Linked DNA regions of Drosophila melanogaster. The protein of the gene in region 2 interacts with the protein of the main gene of each other region in a biochemical or structural test. Each region holds a gene or a part of one and is shown on either strand. Other genes may lie near its edges.

Region 1 (5,821 bases), on a different chromosome or scaffold from region 2:
TGCCCTACGACCTGAATCACCACCACCACAGCCTATGGCCAGGCCACGCCCTAAGCCTGTCCAGCCGCGTCCCATCATTGATCAAAATCAGCTACAGGACGATCACGTTGACCAGCAGCAGCAGCGTCGCCGTCAGCCCGTTTCCCAGACCATTCGCAAGTGGCGTGAGGAAAACGAGGACGGAAGCATCACATGGGGCTATGAGAACGACGACGGATCTTTCAAGGAGGAGCTGATCGGCACCGATTGCATCACCAAGTGAGTAAAACAGATTGAATCCAACCTCTTTCTCCCACTTACCCAAACTTCTCGTTCACCAGGGGAACCTATGGCTACGTTGATCCAGATGGCAACAAACGTGAGTACCACTATGAGACTGGAATCAAGTGCGATCCTAACAACCGCAACAACGAGGAAGAGCTACAAGAGAACGGGTTCGTCAACTACGAAGAGAATCGCGCCGTGCTGCCCAATGGTCTGGAGATCGACATGACGCAGTTGGGCAAGAAGAAGTCGAAGCGCCCGAACGGCTTTTACAGGAACTGATACTCCCCACAACATATAGTCCCTTAAGTCAAGCAGCTCGTAGTTCGTCTTACTTGTATTCCACTTATAATTATGTTCATACTCCATTGAGTGTCAAGTGAAAGATTAAAATGATTAGAATAGATGAAAGTGAAGAATCAGTACGGACGCTGGCGCCTGGCGGTTGGCGGCAGTCGGTTGGGCGGAGTAATCGAGATGTCCAGAAAGTCTCCAATGCTGAATTTGGCCTGAGCAAGTGTCTTATTATCATCGATTCCTTTTTGACCCGTGCAGGTCACTCCGATTTCGCGCATCTGGAAGTGATTACTCCGGAAGTTGGGGTACACGACAGCAAAGTCAAAGTAGGTGCCCTTCTTCCGGGTGTCCGGATTGACGTCTCGCACCAGAGAGGTCAGTTCGTGCAGGGTGGCGTCTTGCCAGGTGTAAATCTGAAGCTCGTTGGTGGGCACGTTGCCGAACATATACTCCGACACGGAGTGGTGTCGTCCCGTAGAGCAGAAGACACGGAGCAGCATAGGACAGGTCTGGAAAATACATAAACTTATTAACACATCTAGAGCAAACGCGAAGTAAACATGACCGGGGTCACAAACAAACCTTCTCGCGGTCAATCTGCTTGACCTGCGTCTTTTCCTCCACAATCATAGATTCCACGTTGGCCATGTCTCCCTATTCTGCGGTATATCGTTACTAATTTTCTTAATTTTAATACAAAATGCACTTTTAATGCCGTATATTCCGGCTTCTCTTTGCTCTTTTCGATAACTATATAATCGAATGCAGCAATCCTATCGCACATCGCCGAGTGTGACCGCTTGTCGCATACTTATCGGGTTTTAGTTTAATCGATGTTTCCAGAAGCACCAAAATTCGCCGTTTCTCAGCTCTAGTCCGAAAACAAAATTCGCTGTGAGCGGTTGTGTCGTCGAACGTGAAACTACGCGTCTCCGCGAATGACGCAGACTGGAAGCTTCCACTGGCATGACAATCGTCTAAAAACATTCAACAATAGCGGTGCACTTGCAAATTACTGTTGCCGCAACAACAATAACAACTGCTTCGCTAAGCAGTAGCTGCGACCACAACAACAAGGAGGAGAGCAACAACAACGGTGGAGAAGAGCCGTTTGTTATTGGCGCATAAAAGCAGAATCGCAATTTGGCCACTGAATAGTTTCTAAAAACGGTGAGTACATTGTGGCAGCGGTCCATTTGCATACCGAATTGAGATTTGCACTTTTTGCAAGAGTTTCTTATGTAACGGCAACAGCAGCAGCAGCAGCAGCTGAGTTTTACGTGCAAATTGTTGCCGTTGCTTTGCTTGTGTTGGTGCCGCAGCGTCTGCGAAAAGTCACCCTCTTTGCAACCACCCTTCACCCCCCCTCATATTTCATTTATGCATCGCTCTCTCGCTCGATTTGTTTATAAACATTCAGGAATAAGCCGCTGCTAAATACTGAACTGTTTTTATCTCAAGAAGTACAAGGTTATCCCATCCCCAGCCACCCACTTTCGATCTCCTCATTTTTATGCATGCGCCATCATTTGCCGATAATAGTGCCATTCTGTTTGTTGTTCTAAATGTTCTAGTTATTGCAGTAGCGTGGAAGGTGTGGTCATATGGTGGTTTCTATTGTGTCAACAAGGAATCAGTTTCCCAAAAGCTGCATATTTGTTTTTATTTTTAGTCAAATACCAAGAAATAAGTCAATCCAGACATTTGATATTTTTAGAAACGGAATAAACCCCGTTTAAGTGCACAGAAACAGAATCTGTGATTACCCTGGTAAAAGAAAAACACTAGAAGGGGAAAATACCCCACTTGAATTAACCCCCTGCTAAAGGGTATTTTCGCTTCGGCGTGTCTGAATATTTTTAGTTGGCTCGTGTTTTAAAGTCCTCGAATCCACTCCCACCTCGTTGATCCTGCAGCAGCTGTTTTTGCCACAGTTCCTGCTGCTCTTGCGTGGGAGCAGAATGTTTGTTGTTCCTGCTGTTGTTATTGAATCCCCCCTCCCCCCCCTTCGTCCTTGGCCATTGTTCTGTGGACTCGTTTTGGCCGGAGCGGAGGGGTTGCAGCCGTGACCGTGACTGACTGCCCGTAACCCCAGCAACGACCACATAGTGGACGATGTTATTGTTATCGCATACTTTGGTAACCAGTGCACTGTGGTCGGGATGACCAATATGAAGTAAGACGCATTAAAGCTGTTTCTTTAGTCACTTTAAAAAATGAAAAATTTATAAAGATAATACTCAGCAATACTTCTGCGACAAATTCACATTCGTAAATTATTCAAATTTGACAAAACAACGGAATGTTTAAAAACTTTATAGTCTTTTTAAGTTAGAATAAGTCTTAAGTTCTAGAAAGACCCCACGAAGTTGAAGAAAATGTACTTTAAGTGAAGTAAGTCTTCAGTGGCTTCAGTGGAATCGTATGTACTCGAATCGGAAGGTGGGTAAAGATGTGAACAATAAAGTAATATGTTTTTCGAAATTAAATTCCGCCCACTGTCCGTGTTCGTTGCTGCGGCTGCTGGCTGAATTTTAAACGTGCCAAGTCCTTGGTTGTAAACTGAAGACGTGCGGTGTGGGGCGATTTGTTGCCACTGTTGCGGTCGCTTTGTTGCTGCCGCCTTACTTCGTTTTCGTTATTTTTTCTCAAATATTAATTGCTTTGAGCAACAGTAGAAGCCCTTGGCTACTGCTCCAAACCCAATCACTTCGAATTTCCGAAAATTCCCCAAGCAGCAGCACAACGAGTTTGGAAAAGTGGCAAGGCGAAGCAGACGTAACCGAAAGCAATAAATTCACAAATGCAAATAAAATGCGAGCTTTGCTTCAACTCCTGTTCTGTATACATATGTATTTGATTCTATTTTTTACCCGGCCAGTTGACAGGGGCGTGTGCGTGGGCGTTTCTACTGCCAGCCGCACAACACAATGTCCTGGGTGTAAGTCTCGACCTTGGCTTTGCATAGCGACCTTTCGCCAATGCCACAATATATCCCCATTCCTACCCATATCCCTATTCCCCGAATGCCCAGTGGTGCCCACTTGTTTGTAGCGAGGACAGATTTACTTGCCATTTCCAATCCGGGGAATCCATTTCGCAGCCAGCTGTTCAGACTTTCAGATAAAGTGCACGCTTAAGAGAATCATGACAAATTAATGCTTGTGAATGAAGTGGCAAATCATCGTTTCATGGCCAAAAAGGTCGTATTCGAAGAAGATCTAGAATTAGATATTGGAAAGAACCTGCAGCAGATGGCTCATATTAGAAATATCTAAGAAATGTGGCTGGTTATTAACGTATAATTCCATTAGGGTCTTGAGCACTATTGTATATGTCGGCGAAACAGGAGTCTCATCCATATTATTTATTCACTTCGCGATTTTGTACGTCAGCGCAGCAAGTTCCGATCGACGTCAGCAGTCAAACTTCACTGAAGGGATCTTCTTACATGTCCCTTCTTCATCATATTCTCTAATGGCTATACACACTGGCGTGTGCCACATTGTCATCTCTCTCTAACACACTATTTATGACCACTCGATCGGACCTCACTCAGCTGCAGAGGCTGTTCGTGCCTCTGCCGCAGCGCTCGACAGAATTTTACCGCAATATTACAATTTCATCAGAATATGAAATCACAGAAGGAATTTCTGGAATGCGAAGAGTCGCGCTCCGACATATACAATCATGCTGATAATAACATTGATTTTATTGCACATTTAATTGCCTTACATTGTATTACACTTTCTAGCAGTATTCAAGATTATCTCCTATTATTTATAGCAATTTGTTAGTTGTTACTCATGCATAATGGCGACTTAATATTATATTTTAAAATTGTTTTTTTCTTATGTTAATCTGGATTACCACCCCACTTCGTGATTAATTCTGAGCGGAGAACAAAAACACTCTGATAAATTAAGTTGTAAACAACTACTTTCGAAAAGCAATTAAAAAATTTATTTACAGTATTTCACGATAAGGCGAATAACAAAACCATTAACTTGTTAATGTGCCGGTACAAACTATTTCCTCTAAAATGTTATCAGTTATCTGATTACGGGTTGATGTGATTGATTCCAAATATAAGTTGTTAAAGATTGAGTTATTTTAAGAATACCCGCTGATAACATTTCCTTTTGTGAAATTTATTGAACGGTCGTTCAATAAAGAATTGCCGAGAGCATTCTGATTACCATTCTGCTGCAAAAAACACTCGAAAACAACCCGTCTTTAAGAGACTGCAAAAGGCCAAGGAAAGATCACTCGTCTGTGCCTTTGATTGCGAACGACCACTGAATCGATGGGAGAAAGATATGGGAGTGCGTATATGTGGCCAGAAAATTATGTATACGCAGCGTTTCCTCATTGAGAGGCGCTGCTGACGCAAAATAAATGAAACGATTTTAAAATAAAAGCAACTCATAATTTTTGCCCCTACGATTGGTGCCTGTGTTGTCGCGTCTGTTGTCCATTTTATGCTATTTCTGTTTGCGTTCGCTTTTGTTTTGTTTTCCATCTTCTTGCCTTTTTGCCAGGGTTTTGCCAATTGATGAATTGAATACGTACAGACCGCTGCCGTCGGCTCTTTCGTCAATTGGCTTGACTGGATCTAGCTGCAGTTTGCACTGACGTCACGTCCCAAAAGCAAAAGTGCCCCTAACTCACTTAACACATCGGCCTGATTGGCAGCGACGTCGATTCCATTCGACTGTATATGCGCGCATACGTATGTTCTGCTTGACTTGAGGTATACTTGAGTTGTAAATGTCTCAATTAACCATAGTAACAATAGCCAAATGTTATCTATGGAGTCTAAATACGTCCATTTGGTGCGTCAGTGGGGACTGTCGTCGCGATAAGAAGCGAATCGAGGGAACTACCGTGGCCATGATTTACGATAACCAGCGGGTTTCAACCGGTTGAACTCAACATTGAACTGCTGATAACACTTGCTTAAAAGCGATTTATTGGAATATTTGCTGAACAGGATTTTAATTCCTTCCTTGCTTGGAAGCAAGAACCACTGTAAACTTTTGGTAATCTCTTCATCCTACCCAAATCACCGAATTTCGGCAGCACATGTCGGCGATGGCGGCTCCTAATAGAAATCGCTTTTGCATAGCCAAGTTGGCCCAAACTATTTTCATGTCAAAGCGCTGACAAGACGGGCGCACACAGAAACCTACAGATACACAGATACATTTGCACTTGGAGCCGCACAGTTGCGAGTGACAGTCGACAACAAAGGGGCTGG
Region 2 (6,967 bases):
TGTGGGATATAGCCCAAGGCTGACAAATAATGGGAAAAATGAGGTGACCCTTCCCACGCCCAATCCATCCGTTTACTTTTAGGGAGCTTATAATAATGTCTTTCTTGGATAAGCGCCAGTCTTAGAATTTGTGAGCAGAAGTCTGCTGGTAAAAATTATAATTTTTCAGTTTAAATAATAACGACAGTAAGTTGGGTGCGTCGGCGGTTCTTTGCCAGCGAAGGCCTTAAATTCATTTTCAAGGCCTTTTATTTTTCATTCCTTTGCGGAACACGAAATATTTAAAAAAATCGTAAACTCATTTGAAAGTTTTCTATGTCCAACACCAAACTATTTACTCGGCAGCTAAAAAAAAAGCTTTTGAGGGTGAGGATTGGGGGTTCGAATAAGATATACGTACCTATCTACACTATAAAACTGGCAATTACCAGTTTATTCCCGTTTCTTCTTTTAACTTATTTATAATAAGCTTTTATTGGTAAAATTAGGGTAAACAGTTTTAGCATAAGGTTTATTTGGCTAACATTACGTTTAACTTTTTAATTATTGAATTGTTTTTATTTACGTATACGCTCATAGAGTATGTTTACAGAAGTCTAAGCGAAAAAAGCCTAAAATGCTAATAAGCATCACAAAACGTGAGCATTTGTCCTGCGTCTCACTCTTTTACTCCGTTTTATATATGTACGTGTGTAAGTACATAAGACGTTCTTTATGTAATACTTGTACATACAATTTTATATAGAGGGGGCTGCCAGGATGAAGCCTTTTTTGGCTGTTGAAAGGGGCACAAAGAAGAGAAGGCGTCAGTTCCGCGGCATGGCTGAACGGGAGGCGATTGGTATGAGTGGGTGGCGTCGACTTTCTTTCATAGCATTGTAGATGTTTGCTCTCTCTCTCTGGAGATTAAATGGAAAAAACACTGTGACATTTTCTGACTGCGCGGCGCGATTTTTATATTCGTTTTTGCTCAGCTGCTGCCGTTGCCTGCAGACGTAAATTTAAATTCCAGTGAAGGGATGGATGAATAAAGGGGGTGACGTGGGGAGGAACGTGGCGACGGCATTAGTGGGGCGTCTTGTGGCAAATGTAAAATAATGCGAAAGGGCTTCGTTTGCATAAATTAAAAATTTATGTAATGCTGCCCGTTTTCTCTTTTACGAAAAATCGAAGAAAGCTGTGGGTAATTTTCTAAAGCGGGGTTGCTACGAATATTTTTTGCTTTACACAATTATCTCATATGTATATACATATATATACATATATATATTTATATTCATTTATTTTTGGTTTCCCAGACAGCAATTTTTAAATTTAACATAATATATTTCGATTTTTATGTAATAAATACATATTTGCCGATGTATACATATGTATTTATTATTGATATAGGTAGAACATTAAATTAGAGAAGAAATAGTTATGACAAAAAGTAACAGTTTCGTTTACTATATGCTAGACTGACATATCTAATGCAATCATGTACCATAAAATACATTTTCTAGTTTATATTTACTGACGTATTTTACAAGGTGTATGTGTGTATGTCTTTAAAGGGTTAAAATTAGCAACCCCCTAATTAACACATATAACTCTTATTTTTTGATACATTGCACATCCCTAGCCACAATTAGGATTATAATTTATTTACATAAAAATTGACTTGTGATTTTATAAATTTAATTATATCTATTGGGTTAAACGTCGAATGTTGCTGTACACAATTAATATGATGTCTTTCGTGCGCTGACTTTCAAATGATTAGAAATGCACTCTCTATTTTAGTTTATAGCTCTTGTATTCTTTTAATCTTGAGGAACTTGTATACCATACATTTGAATGAACAAAGAAAATTACATATTAATTTGTTACATTATTATGACTACAACGTTTTAAAATAAAAGCAGTAAGCTTACCAATGAATAGAACGAAAAATTGCACTAAATTTATTTCAAATTGTTATTGTTATATACAACCTTATATACTTTTATATGTAATTTGAATTGGCCTAGTATTTAAAATTAATTTCTTATTTTAGGTCCATTTAAATATGCATCAAAATTTTAATACATATAAATTGTTTATGCTTCGTAGTTTATATTCCTAAGTCTTGTATATAAATTCAGTTGAATTGTACGATTGCCAAATTGTTGAATGTATATACTGTTTAGCTCACAACAATTTCGATACAGAGGTATTGGAGGTATTTGGTTATAGCAATTTCTTCCTGTGTATTTGGTTCAAGTCTTACAATTAAAACTAATAGTTACGAGTGTTAAGATAAGTGGGATTACTATACTTTCGATACGCATTGATCTACATTAGGTTATTATTTTGGAATATATATTAACGTTTCTTATAGTTTGCAACAAAAAAAAAAAGATTTTCAAAAATGGATGCGTAAACTGTGTTTAAGTTATGGCAATATGAAATAAAAGCGGAATCAGTTAAATATTAACGTTACCATTGATTTTCTTTTTTCTTTATTGTTTATATTTGAAGCAGCAACAATTAAACCAAATATTTATTGAAGTATAAATATAAAAGTGTACATTTAAGAATGATCTTTAAAAAAACAGGATTAACTAAATTTTTATATTTAATAATAGTTTTAAATAGAGAATGCAAACAGAACAATTATCAAACAAATGTTTTTTATTATTTAACTTAAAGTTAGTTTTGATTTGAAGATTATTGGCATTGTTTTCTTAAAGAATTTGATTAAATTATAAAAAATTAAGCTAATAAATTAAATAAAATTAGTTATAGATTTCCTAATTAAACTTCGTGTCTTTTATTTTTCTGCAACAATGCATGTTTAGAGCGCCGATTACTTTACAATTGGCAGCTGTGTAAGCTGAATATGTACAATTTAAGATTCCGAACCTAAGAATATAACTTAAATTTAAGGTAAAGAATGGCACGACATTTTCGATTTGATTTGGTGGGGTTTGGCGGTAACAAGCATACGGTATGGCTTACTTTGTACAATTTCGACTTTTTTGTATGTTATTTTTTTTTAAACTTGTACTTATCATTATATTCCTGTTGCAACAATTTTTACTTTCCACTTTGAAATAGCAAAATTTTCAATTTTGTGTTAATAAATGCCAGTCAATTTCATCAAATGAAAACTGATTAGGGCTATGTACAATTCGGTGTGGTACTGGCCTAATGTTGTTGATGGCCCATATAAGAAGCCGGGGCATCATCTAAATCATACAAGTCAATATCATCGGTTTGCTCGTGAGATCCGATAGAGCGAGGAGAGTGCATGCTCAAATCCTCTGGCTCGGTTTGCTCAGGCATATCACTGGGTACGTGAGGGATTTGCGGTGGAGGCAGCCGGAAAACCCGACGAATGTCCTGTGCCTTGCGCCGTGCGATGTTGCTGCAATGGCCATCCACAGAGCTGGCTCCATCTTCAGACAAATCCAATGGACCATCGTCCTCCGGTGTCGCTTTTTCCATGTCGACCGACTCATTCGAACCTCCGTAGGTGGCACACATTGCCGCAAATCTATTCGTGGATGCCTCGATAGCAATTGCGGAGATTGCCACGGGGTAATCTCCACTCATGGCCGGTGAAAGCGCGGGAGTAGGCGGCGACTGGATGCCACACTTGTGATTCATCAGATGGTGGCGCCGTCGGAACTTCATGTGACACCGTTCGCACTCGAACGGCTTTTCACCGTTGTGTACCAGCATGTGGGACTTAAGCTGATTGGAGTCACTGAATTTGCCATCGCAGATTTCACAAGTATAGGGACGCTCTCCAGTGTGGACTCGCAAATGTCGTCTAAGATTGGCCACCTGAACGAATTGACGATCGCAGTGCGAGCAATGATATGGTTTTTCTCCAGTATGCAAACGCATGTGGGTTTTTAAGTGATGGTCACGAGTAAACCGCTTGTGGCACTCCGGACATTCGAAAGGCTTCTCACCGGTGTGGGTGCGTTCGTGGTTCTGAAGCACGTGCTTATAGCCAAAGCTGCGTGAGCAGATTTTACAGGTGAAGCTTTTGTCGCGAGATGGATCCTTGGAGACACCGACACATCCAGCATTTCCACCCGCTCCGTCGTGCGTTGAATTAGGAGAGCTGCCACTGGAAGGCGGAGATATTGGGCCTCCCGATGTATGGTACATATCGTTTACACTCATGCTGATCTCGGTCTGAAACTCCTTCTTAACCGATAACTTTCGAGCCTTCTTCGCTGGCTCATGGTGCTGGGGAGTGCTGTTGGGGGAATTTAATGGGTGCTTGCCACTACCTAAAGGAGTGGACAGCGGCGAGTGCGGGCTGGCTGGCGGCGAATGTAAATGCGTACCCTGGGGCGGGAGCGACTGTTGGGCAGCCCAAGCCCCAAACAAAGCCGCCGGATTGTGTGGAAAGAGAGTGTTGGCCAATGTGCTCATGGGCAGTTGGGCCATGAATGCGGCAGCTTGACGGTTTGCAGCCAGAAGTTGGGTAGGTGAGAGCATTCCAAAAGCTGAGGCAGCGGCCGCCTGTTGGAGACCCATAGCTGGATAAATCGCAGCGGCGCTTGTAGCTGATGTGTTGGCCGACATGGGGGGCGATAGCGACATGGAACGGTCTAGATGAACGTCCTCTTGTTTTATGCCAGCTAATGCAGCAGCTAAGGCTAAAAAAAAAATCATAAGTTAGTATGTTTTCATTTGGAAATGTCTTAAGAGCAACGGCTTAAAAGAGAAAAAAATTTTACATATGATACATGTGTGAGAGAAAGTTTCGTACGGAGAGAACTCTTAGTGTTTTCGCAGCTCTCTATTTTCGTCTAACTAGTTTTTGTTTTGGTCGATAACGAGTTAAGTGCCGGTTCCTGTCCAAACATGTAAACAAATTCTAACTAATCGGTATGTGTGCAATTACATTACATTTGTATTTTCTATCCTAAAGACATCGGACTGTTTAATAATGAGAAAGTGATCGGGGACTCTAGAACTTCTAGATAGTTTACAAACTTGGGGAATATTTTAATTTGGTCTAATACTTACTTCGCGTTTGTGCGTCTTGAAGCATTGATATGGACATCAACAAATTCTTCTTGTGCTCCTAATTTTGTGCTCGCGCAATGTTTTCCCGCACACAGAAAACACCTATAATATTCGCCTTCGTGGTTTTGGAGCTTCAGTTTTTTAGACAACAAAATTTCATTTGAGCAATTTGTGCACTTTCAGGGATATGAATAATTTTTGTACACACTTTTGTACTTTGAGGTAGAGAGATTTCACAAAAATTGTCTTTTATAAAAGTTTACCGATTTAGCAAAATGAGGTAGTTGAAATTTGATTCGATTATATTACTCGCGGTTGTGTGTGGCACAACAAATGGTTGTTCCTTTCGCTGACAGAGCCAAATCACGACTGATACAAATTCGCTGCGTGAGCTAACTATAAGTACGCTCTGTCTCGGCGAAAGATTCTCACTCACCCTCGTACGCACACACGCCGGGACTCAATTGGCTCTCCCGCTCACACGCACGCAAATAAGGGTGCAGACAGGAAGGGAAATCATCACGGCGAAAGCGAAAAACGATCCCCAAGCCTGAGCAGGTAAAGTAAAAACTGGGTACTTCGCTGAGTTGAGTGAGTTGATTTCATCGATTCCTTTTTATACCTAAAAGTGCTAATTTTTCATATGCAAATTGGTGCGAATGAGACAGCTAGAGGTTCCTTTCAATGCAAAAGATATATAGTCAGTTAGAGTCAAATATGGACGATGTGGTTTTTTAACATAGGTTGTCGATGCGAATTATCTTCGCTGAGTAGAGGGTTTTATGACCTTTACGTTTCTAGTCAGTAATAAAACATAAAAAATCAGAACTATGTGTTGACCGTTAAAGGACATTTTTTAATGCTTATGACCACTTCCGCTTGTGTTTTTTAGAGCCTTCATAAAAACTGCACTTGCAGGAATATTACACCACATAAAGATCACGTAGAAGTTTTTAGAGTTAGTAAGGGACGCACAACAAAAACTCACTCAGATGTGCCTTTGTCATTTCCCCTTTTTACATTTGAGCTATAGAAAATAACTAATGTGTCTAAGGGGGATGAACGCCAATGGAGAACAGGGCGAAAATGAAACAGCGAGAGCAAAAGAGCCAAAATTCATGAAAAGAGATGTCACGGACGGGGTTGAATTTCAAGCGTGCGCTGTACGAGTAAACAGGAAGTAAACAAAACATCGGCTTAAGGAGTGCAGAAAGTAAGAAAGAAGGTCGACGGTTTTTTACCAGCTATACTGAGTGAGTTTTTTGTCTTCCTTGTAGCCTGTTGAGCAAAGTCTCAAAGACGTGGAAGTTCAGTTTAATGGACAACTAATTATTGGCACACGTCTAAAAAAGAAATCGTAAAAAGGAACTAGTAAAAAACGGATTCAGGTAGAAAGGAAATATAATAAAAAATTGTAAGAGAGCTGCATCGTTGAAATTTTCTTGCTTGTATAGACGTTTTCTGTGACTTTTGCGGATTGACTTTTAAATGGTTTTATGTAGATTTTTATGGCAAGGACATGCTATGTTAAATTTATGTTGAAAATCGGTATTTTTGGTTTTGTAGGTAGGCCAAGGACGCTCAGAGCTCACCGGGTGGTAAATTTGAACTACCGTGGATTTTAAGAAAGTGAAACCAAACAAAAGCAGAAAGGCACACAAATATCCTTGCTCTGCATAATGTTACGTAAAATTATAATGGTTTTGTCATCGAATGTTCGACTTCATAGAAAGTTTTTCACCAAAACAAAATTCGCAGAAGGCATTAAATAATATGCAAGCAAAGCGCTTAAAACTGACCCTATTGATAAGAAATTCTTAAATTTCGGGCTGAGCTGACCGGTTTTAGAAAATCTTCATACGATTCCTATGTTTCGGCGATTAGTCAGAAATTTTTTTTGGTTGTTTGCGTGATAAGCAGAGGCTTGATATTGAAAGATCCACTTAAGCTC
Region 3 (4,749 bases), on a different chromosome or scaffold from region 2:
TTTTTTTTTTATAATATTGATTGGTGGTGCGCGCGGTCTGCGAATGACGCAAATCGAAAAACTGCAAGCCAGCATAGCCGAGTGGCAAGTGACCAGAAGTGGGAAAAAATCAAATGAAATACAATTTATATATATATATATATGTATATATTATTGCCTCGCACGCTTACGAATTGCTGATTCTGCGTTTTGCGGCTGCTTGGCTATTTCTATTTATTATTGTTGCCATATCGCTGCATCTGTTGTTTTGGACGAATTTGGCTGAGCCATCTGAAAGTGTGTGTTTTCTGTTTTCATTTGAAAAGTGCTTGCGCAGGAGTATAGCAGATATGGCGAAAGGTTTGCCATCAAACATGCAACGATTAGCTGGCCAAAATACATCTTTCCACCGCTGAATAGATGAAAGACATCCGAATTTGTAAACTATCATTCATTTTCAACAAATTTATAACTTGGACAATTTAGCTTTAAGGGTATTAGAGCCTGTACCATCAACCGAATTGCGTTGTATTTGCCTTTCAGATCGATAGAGATAGAGCGCAGAAAAAAAATACAAGAATATGAGGCACACATGGCTGCCATTGTGTTTCTGGTCGAATTTTAGTTCCTCGGACTTTTGTGTTTAAATTTAAACGTTTGCCTGCTATTTTGGTGGCTGCTTTCGCTTTGTTTTGCGCCCCGTGCACCACCAAGTGTGAAATTCTTTGGGCAGGTGTGCATTTTTTCACGCGCGCAGTCGGCGGCAAACACACAACAACAAACATTGCGCAAAAACACAGAGCATCAAACGGATTGGGGGGGGGGGTCGTACGAGGCGTGGCAGTGGGCGGCATCGCCTGGCATTGACAATAAATAACCGTTAGCTAGTGGGAGTGGGCAGCCCATACACAATCAAATTTATTATTTGCCAAAAAAGGGCAGTGACAAGAAGCGGAAAACGTTGTTGCGCCAAAAAAACTAGTAACAACAAATTCAGCAACATGTACAGTTATCGATGGACTATATATATAGAAAATTCCATGGCAATGCAAATATTGAAGTGGAAACGGGAAAAGCGGCTCTCTCTGCCACATATTTCCATATTTCTATTTATTCTATAGCGAAAACTACATTGGGTAGGAAGAATTCTTAACGACTGCAATACAAATTCAGTGGCTAATAACTATAAATTTAAGTGTTTTTATAAAGCAAATTCCTCAGCATTTCATTTTTGCCCAATGACGAACAATTAGCCAAAAATTTCATAACCGCAATTAACTTTAACTTTAAGGCAATCAATAATTTCAATTGTGCCTGCTGCTTTTAAGGGTTTGTAATCAGTCTAGATACCCCAAAAGTGCGCAAAAAGTTGCGGGGAATACAACAAATGACTAAACAACTAACAGTCGCTATAATTTGAACTCTTTATGTGGCAGAAGTTTGTCTGTATTTCCGTTTTTGGGCAAAAACAAAAACACCATTTGTAATCCTCTTCGGAGTTTTGAGCACTGCGAGCAATACCAACAACATTCCCGTTGCAAGTGCGGCAGTATGTGGCTGGGAGGGGAGAGGTTTAGGGAGGGGGGAGCCCAGAGTTGCTTGTCTGTCTGCCTCTTCATGTGTGCGTGTGTGTGTGTGTATGACGTATACGTTTGTATGTGTGTGATGGGTACAGGCACGTCGAACAGTGAAAGGGCGAACGAACAAGAGAGAAGAGAGAGAGCGATAGAGATAGAAGAAGCTATGACAAAAACACGACAAGCGCAAAAATTGTAAGAAAACTAGAAACAAGCATCAATTTGAATGGACATTCGTAAGTTGATCAAACTTTTTCACTTGGTTGTGTATTCAAATCGGCATAAACACACACAAACAAACAATCGCAACGGTTGTTGAGTAAGTGTGTGCGCTTGTAATTTGCAATCAATATGCGGGCGCAGGAAATAAAAGCTATTTATACTTTTAAAGCTTTAGTTCGCGAAGAAGAAACGATAAGCAGCACTTTCACCCTTTAAAGGCTTTTAATCCGAGCGAAAGAACGAAAACTCCCGGTTGAAATGTGTCAACATGAGGCTTTAGTTGGTTTTCAAACTCGTTGCTTTTGGCCTCTCCCTCCCACCCTTTCTCTTGCACTCGCGCTAGCTCGCTCTTTCTCTCTCTGTCGCACCAAATGTGGCGGCGGCAAAACAACAACGATGAGACAGCATGTTGCAGTGGCGTGGGCAAAAGGGGGGTGCTTGAGAAAAGGGGGACGTTGCGCAGTGAACCTTGCGTGTGTATTGTCACTAGGCGGGCGGAAAAAAATATAAATTACAAAGAGAGTGTATGTATCTGTGGCTGTGTGCGTGTGCGGGGAAATTATTGCACAATTTTATTTATGTTTTGCATAGAATATGGCAGGCATTGCTCTCTCTCTCTCTCTCTCACTCACTCACACACGCACTCACTCGACTTTTGCATTAAACCGCAACAATACTTGGTCATGTGTGTGTGCGTACCCACACACGCACACCCGCATCACCTATACAGGCAATAGCAGTTCCGCTTTAAAATTCATCAGAATTCTGCACGTTTAAATTTTTCTTGTACACGTTTATCGCACACTCACACACACGCACGCACACAGGCACAGGCGCACACTCGTTGCAAACGGAAAGGCAAATGGGAAATATATGGTGTAGTAATCCGTGGAAAAATCGCCGCTGCCGCGGATTTTCGATTGTGGTATTATTAAATAGCTGAAACGCAATCAGCGGCGCACAATTTGATTTTCAGCTCTCGTTTTCGCCTTTTTTTCTCTCGCTTATTCGCCTATTCCTTTGTGGCGGCGGCGACGGCGGCGTCGGTTTTCTTCTCTCTTTTCTTTTTCTTTTTTTGCGAGTTCACAATTGGGCAAGAAATTCACGTGCCAAAAACGCGGCCACACACAATTTTCGGGGACAAACACTTGGCGGCGGGTCTCATGCACCGTTGCCGACCACTTTTCACAAATTTTATGCACTTTTTGGGCAGTTTTCCCACAATTAATTTACCAGCAACGCGTCCAAATTCCACTCGCAGCTTTCAAAATGGCGGAATACGAACACGGCGGATTTTTAGGTTTTAGTACAGCAATGACGCTATGCGAACAGTGTGACCGCACACGGGTCGTTCGAAAATACCTCGGTGCGCGCAGGCAAACTGCAAGAATTATGGTATAGTTTGAAATGTTGGTATTGCAGAATTCCGACTTTCGACTTCCGTGAGTTTCAGTTGTATATGTTATGCGATTTCATTTATGGAAATTAATAAAAAACAACACTTAAATAAAATTACGTTACCTTATGTATTGTATTTTATTTGTGTGATTTATTATTTAGAATAATAAAAAAGTATTAATGGTATATATGATTATACCAAAAAAAAAACGATATTTAAGTACTTAATGCAGCCCTGAAGAAGTGTGACCGCTGATCAGCGAATCCAGAGAACGTGTTTATTTCAAAAACAAGACGACGGTCACACTGCTGTACCAATAACAAAGAACTCGTTTTTTCTACAAGTAACGGCCAGTTAATAGCTCTTACTAACTAAACAGACCGATTAGGGATCTCGCACAAAATGTCGGCCAGAAGAGCAACCCATGCAGGCAGCTGGTACACGGACTCGGGTGAGTAACAACCCAGCTGCGGCCCAGAAGATAACACAATCAATTATTGCATCGCCTATGGGTGTGGGATAAACGCATATGTATTGCACCTGTGCGTGTTTGCCTGTGTGTGTGTTTGTGTGCGGGTAATGAACCTTAGGGTGAACCAAAAATGTAACTACAGGTCACCAATTCAGAAGTTCTTTTCCGGATCCGAGCCAACCGCATTGCGAATCTCGTCCATGCGATCGTATGCGATTTCGGTGGCCCAGCACAGACGCTTCTCCAGCTCGCTGTTGCGCCGCCGCTGCTGACGCAGTGCATCCAGTCCGCGTTCCAACTGAGTGCATGCCTGGAAGAAGGTGCTCAGCTCGGGTATGTCGCCGAATTCGCCGGGATGCCGACGGAATCCCTGCGTGGCGTCCGTGGATAGCTTGTCCAGGCGATTTTGCAGGAAACGCTGGTCGAACATCATCTGAAGCTCTGCAGTCGTCGCTTTGCCCAACTCGTTGTTGGATTCGTTTAGGTGCAGGTCCCGTATGCGGTCCTTCAAGCCCGTGAAGCTAACCGACTCCAATTTCTCGCCAATGCCCTGGAAGAGTTCGTAGCTCTGCTTGAGCTCCAGCTGCATCTTCCGGACATCTTCGTCGATGCTTTTGGCCGCTTGCGATTCAAGGAAGTCGGCACGGGCACTGGCCTCCACGGGCGGAGCGTCATATCCTGATCTTAGCGAATAGCTCGAGGATGTGGAGACCGGATCCGATGGCTTCTCCTGGGCTCCACCTCCAGTTAAACGATCTTCAGATGATCTGGTACCCGACGACGAACTCTTTGTACTGCCAGCGGACGAGGAGGAGGCCTTACTATTGTTCTTCTTGGAACTCCTCGATTTTGCTTTCCTTGTTTTCCTTATGGGCCCGAAAATGGGCAGCGGATTGGGACTCAGGAGCAGTTCCTGTGACGCCTCCTTGTCGGAATCATCAGCAGCCCTGTTGTAGGATTATAAATGGATTGATTTTTTTCTTCTTTTATATATATATATATATATTGGGTAACTTGATAACTTACTCTTGAGATAATATAGCTGTAAGCTCGTTCCGAATGCGATTCATGAGCTCATCGCTTTGTTTTTCCTTATCAGT

What was found.
Region 1: the proteins of Kr (region 2) and Bin1 form a complex in vitro, tested with the Drosophila melanogaster proteins (one study listed by BioGRID).
Region 3: the proteins of Kr (region 2) and CtBP form a complex in vitro, tested with the Drosophila melanogaster proteins (one study listed by BioGRID).

Annotation. Positions count from the first base shown.
Region 1 is NT_033777.3:16,185,569-16,191,389, forward strand, and holds Bin1 (bicoid interacting protein 1), read right to left. Parts: upstream 3,997-5,821; 5' UTR 3,635-3,996; exon of another isoform or gene 1,539-3,634; 5' UTR 1,210-1,538; coding exon 1,144-1,209; intron 1,071-1,143; coding exon 684-1,070; 3' UTR 588-683; downstream 1-587. Other genes in the region: CG8927 (uncharacterized protein), read left to right, coding at 1-258, 321-546. UniProt on the Drosophila melanogaster protein: Involved in the tethering of the SIN3 complex to core histone proteins. Interacts with bicoid (bcd) to repress transcription of bicoid target genes in the anterior tip of the embryo; a process known as retraction.
Region 2 is NT_033778.4:25,225,038-25,232,004, reverse strand, and holds Kr (kruppel), read right to left. Parts: upstream 5,395-6,967; 5' UTR 5,054-5,394; coding exon 5,017-5,053; intron 4,644-5,016; coding exon 3,172-4,643; 3' UTR 611-3,171; downstream 1-610. UniProt on the Drosophila melanogaster protein: Krueppel is a gap class segmentation protein. It is involved in the segmentation of the embryo and in the differentiation of the Malpighian tubules.
Region 3 is NT_033777.3:13,010,011-13,014,759, reverse strand, and holds the start of CtBP (C-terminal binding protein), read right to left. Parts: upstream 3,112-4,749; 5' UTR 3,012-3,111; exon of another isoform or gene 2,588-3,011; intron 1-2,587. Other genes in the region: CG11656 (uncharacterized protein), read right to left, coding at 3,801-4,596, 4,676-4,749; CG8031 (uncharacterized protein), read left to right, coding at 3,580-3,628. UniProt on the Drosophila melanogaster protein: Corepressor targeting diverse transcription regulators. Hairy-interacting protein required for embryonic segmentation and hairy-mediated transcriptional repression.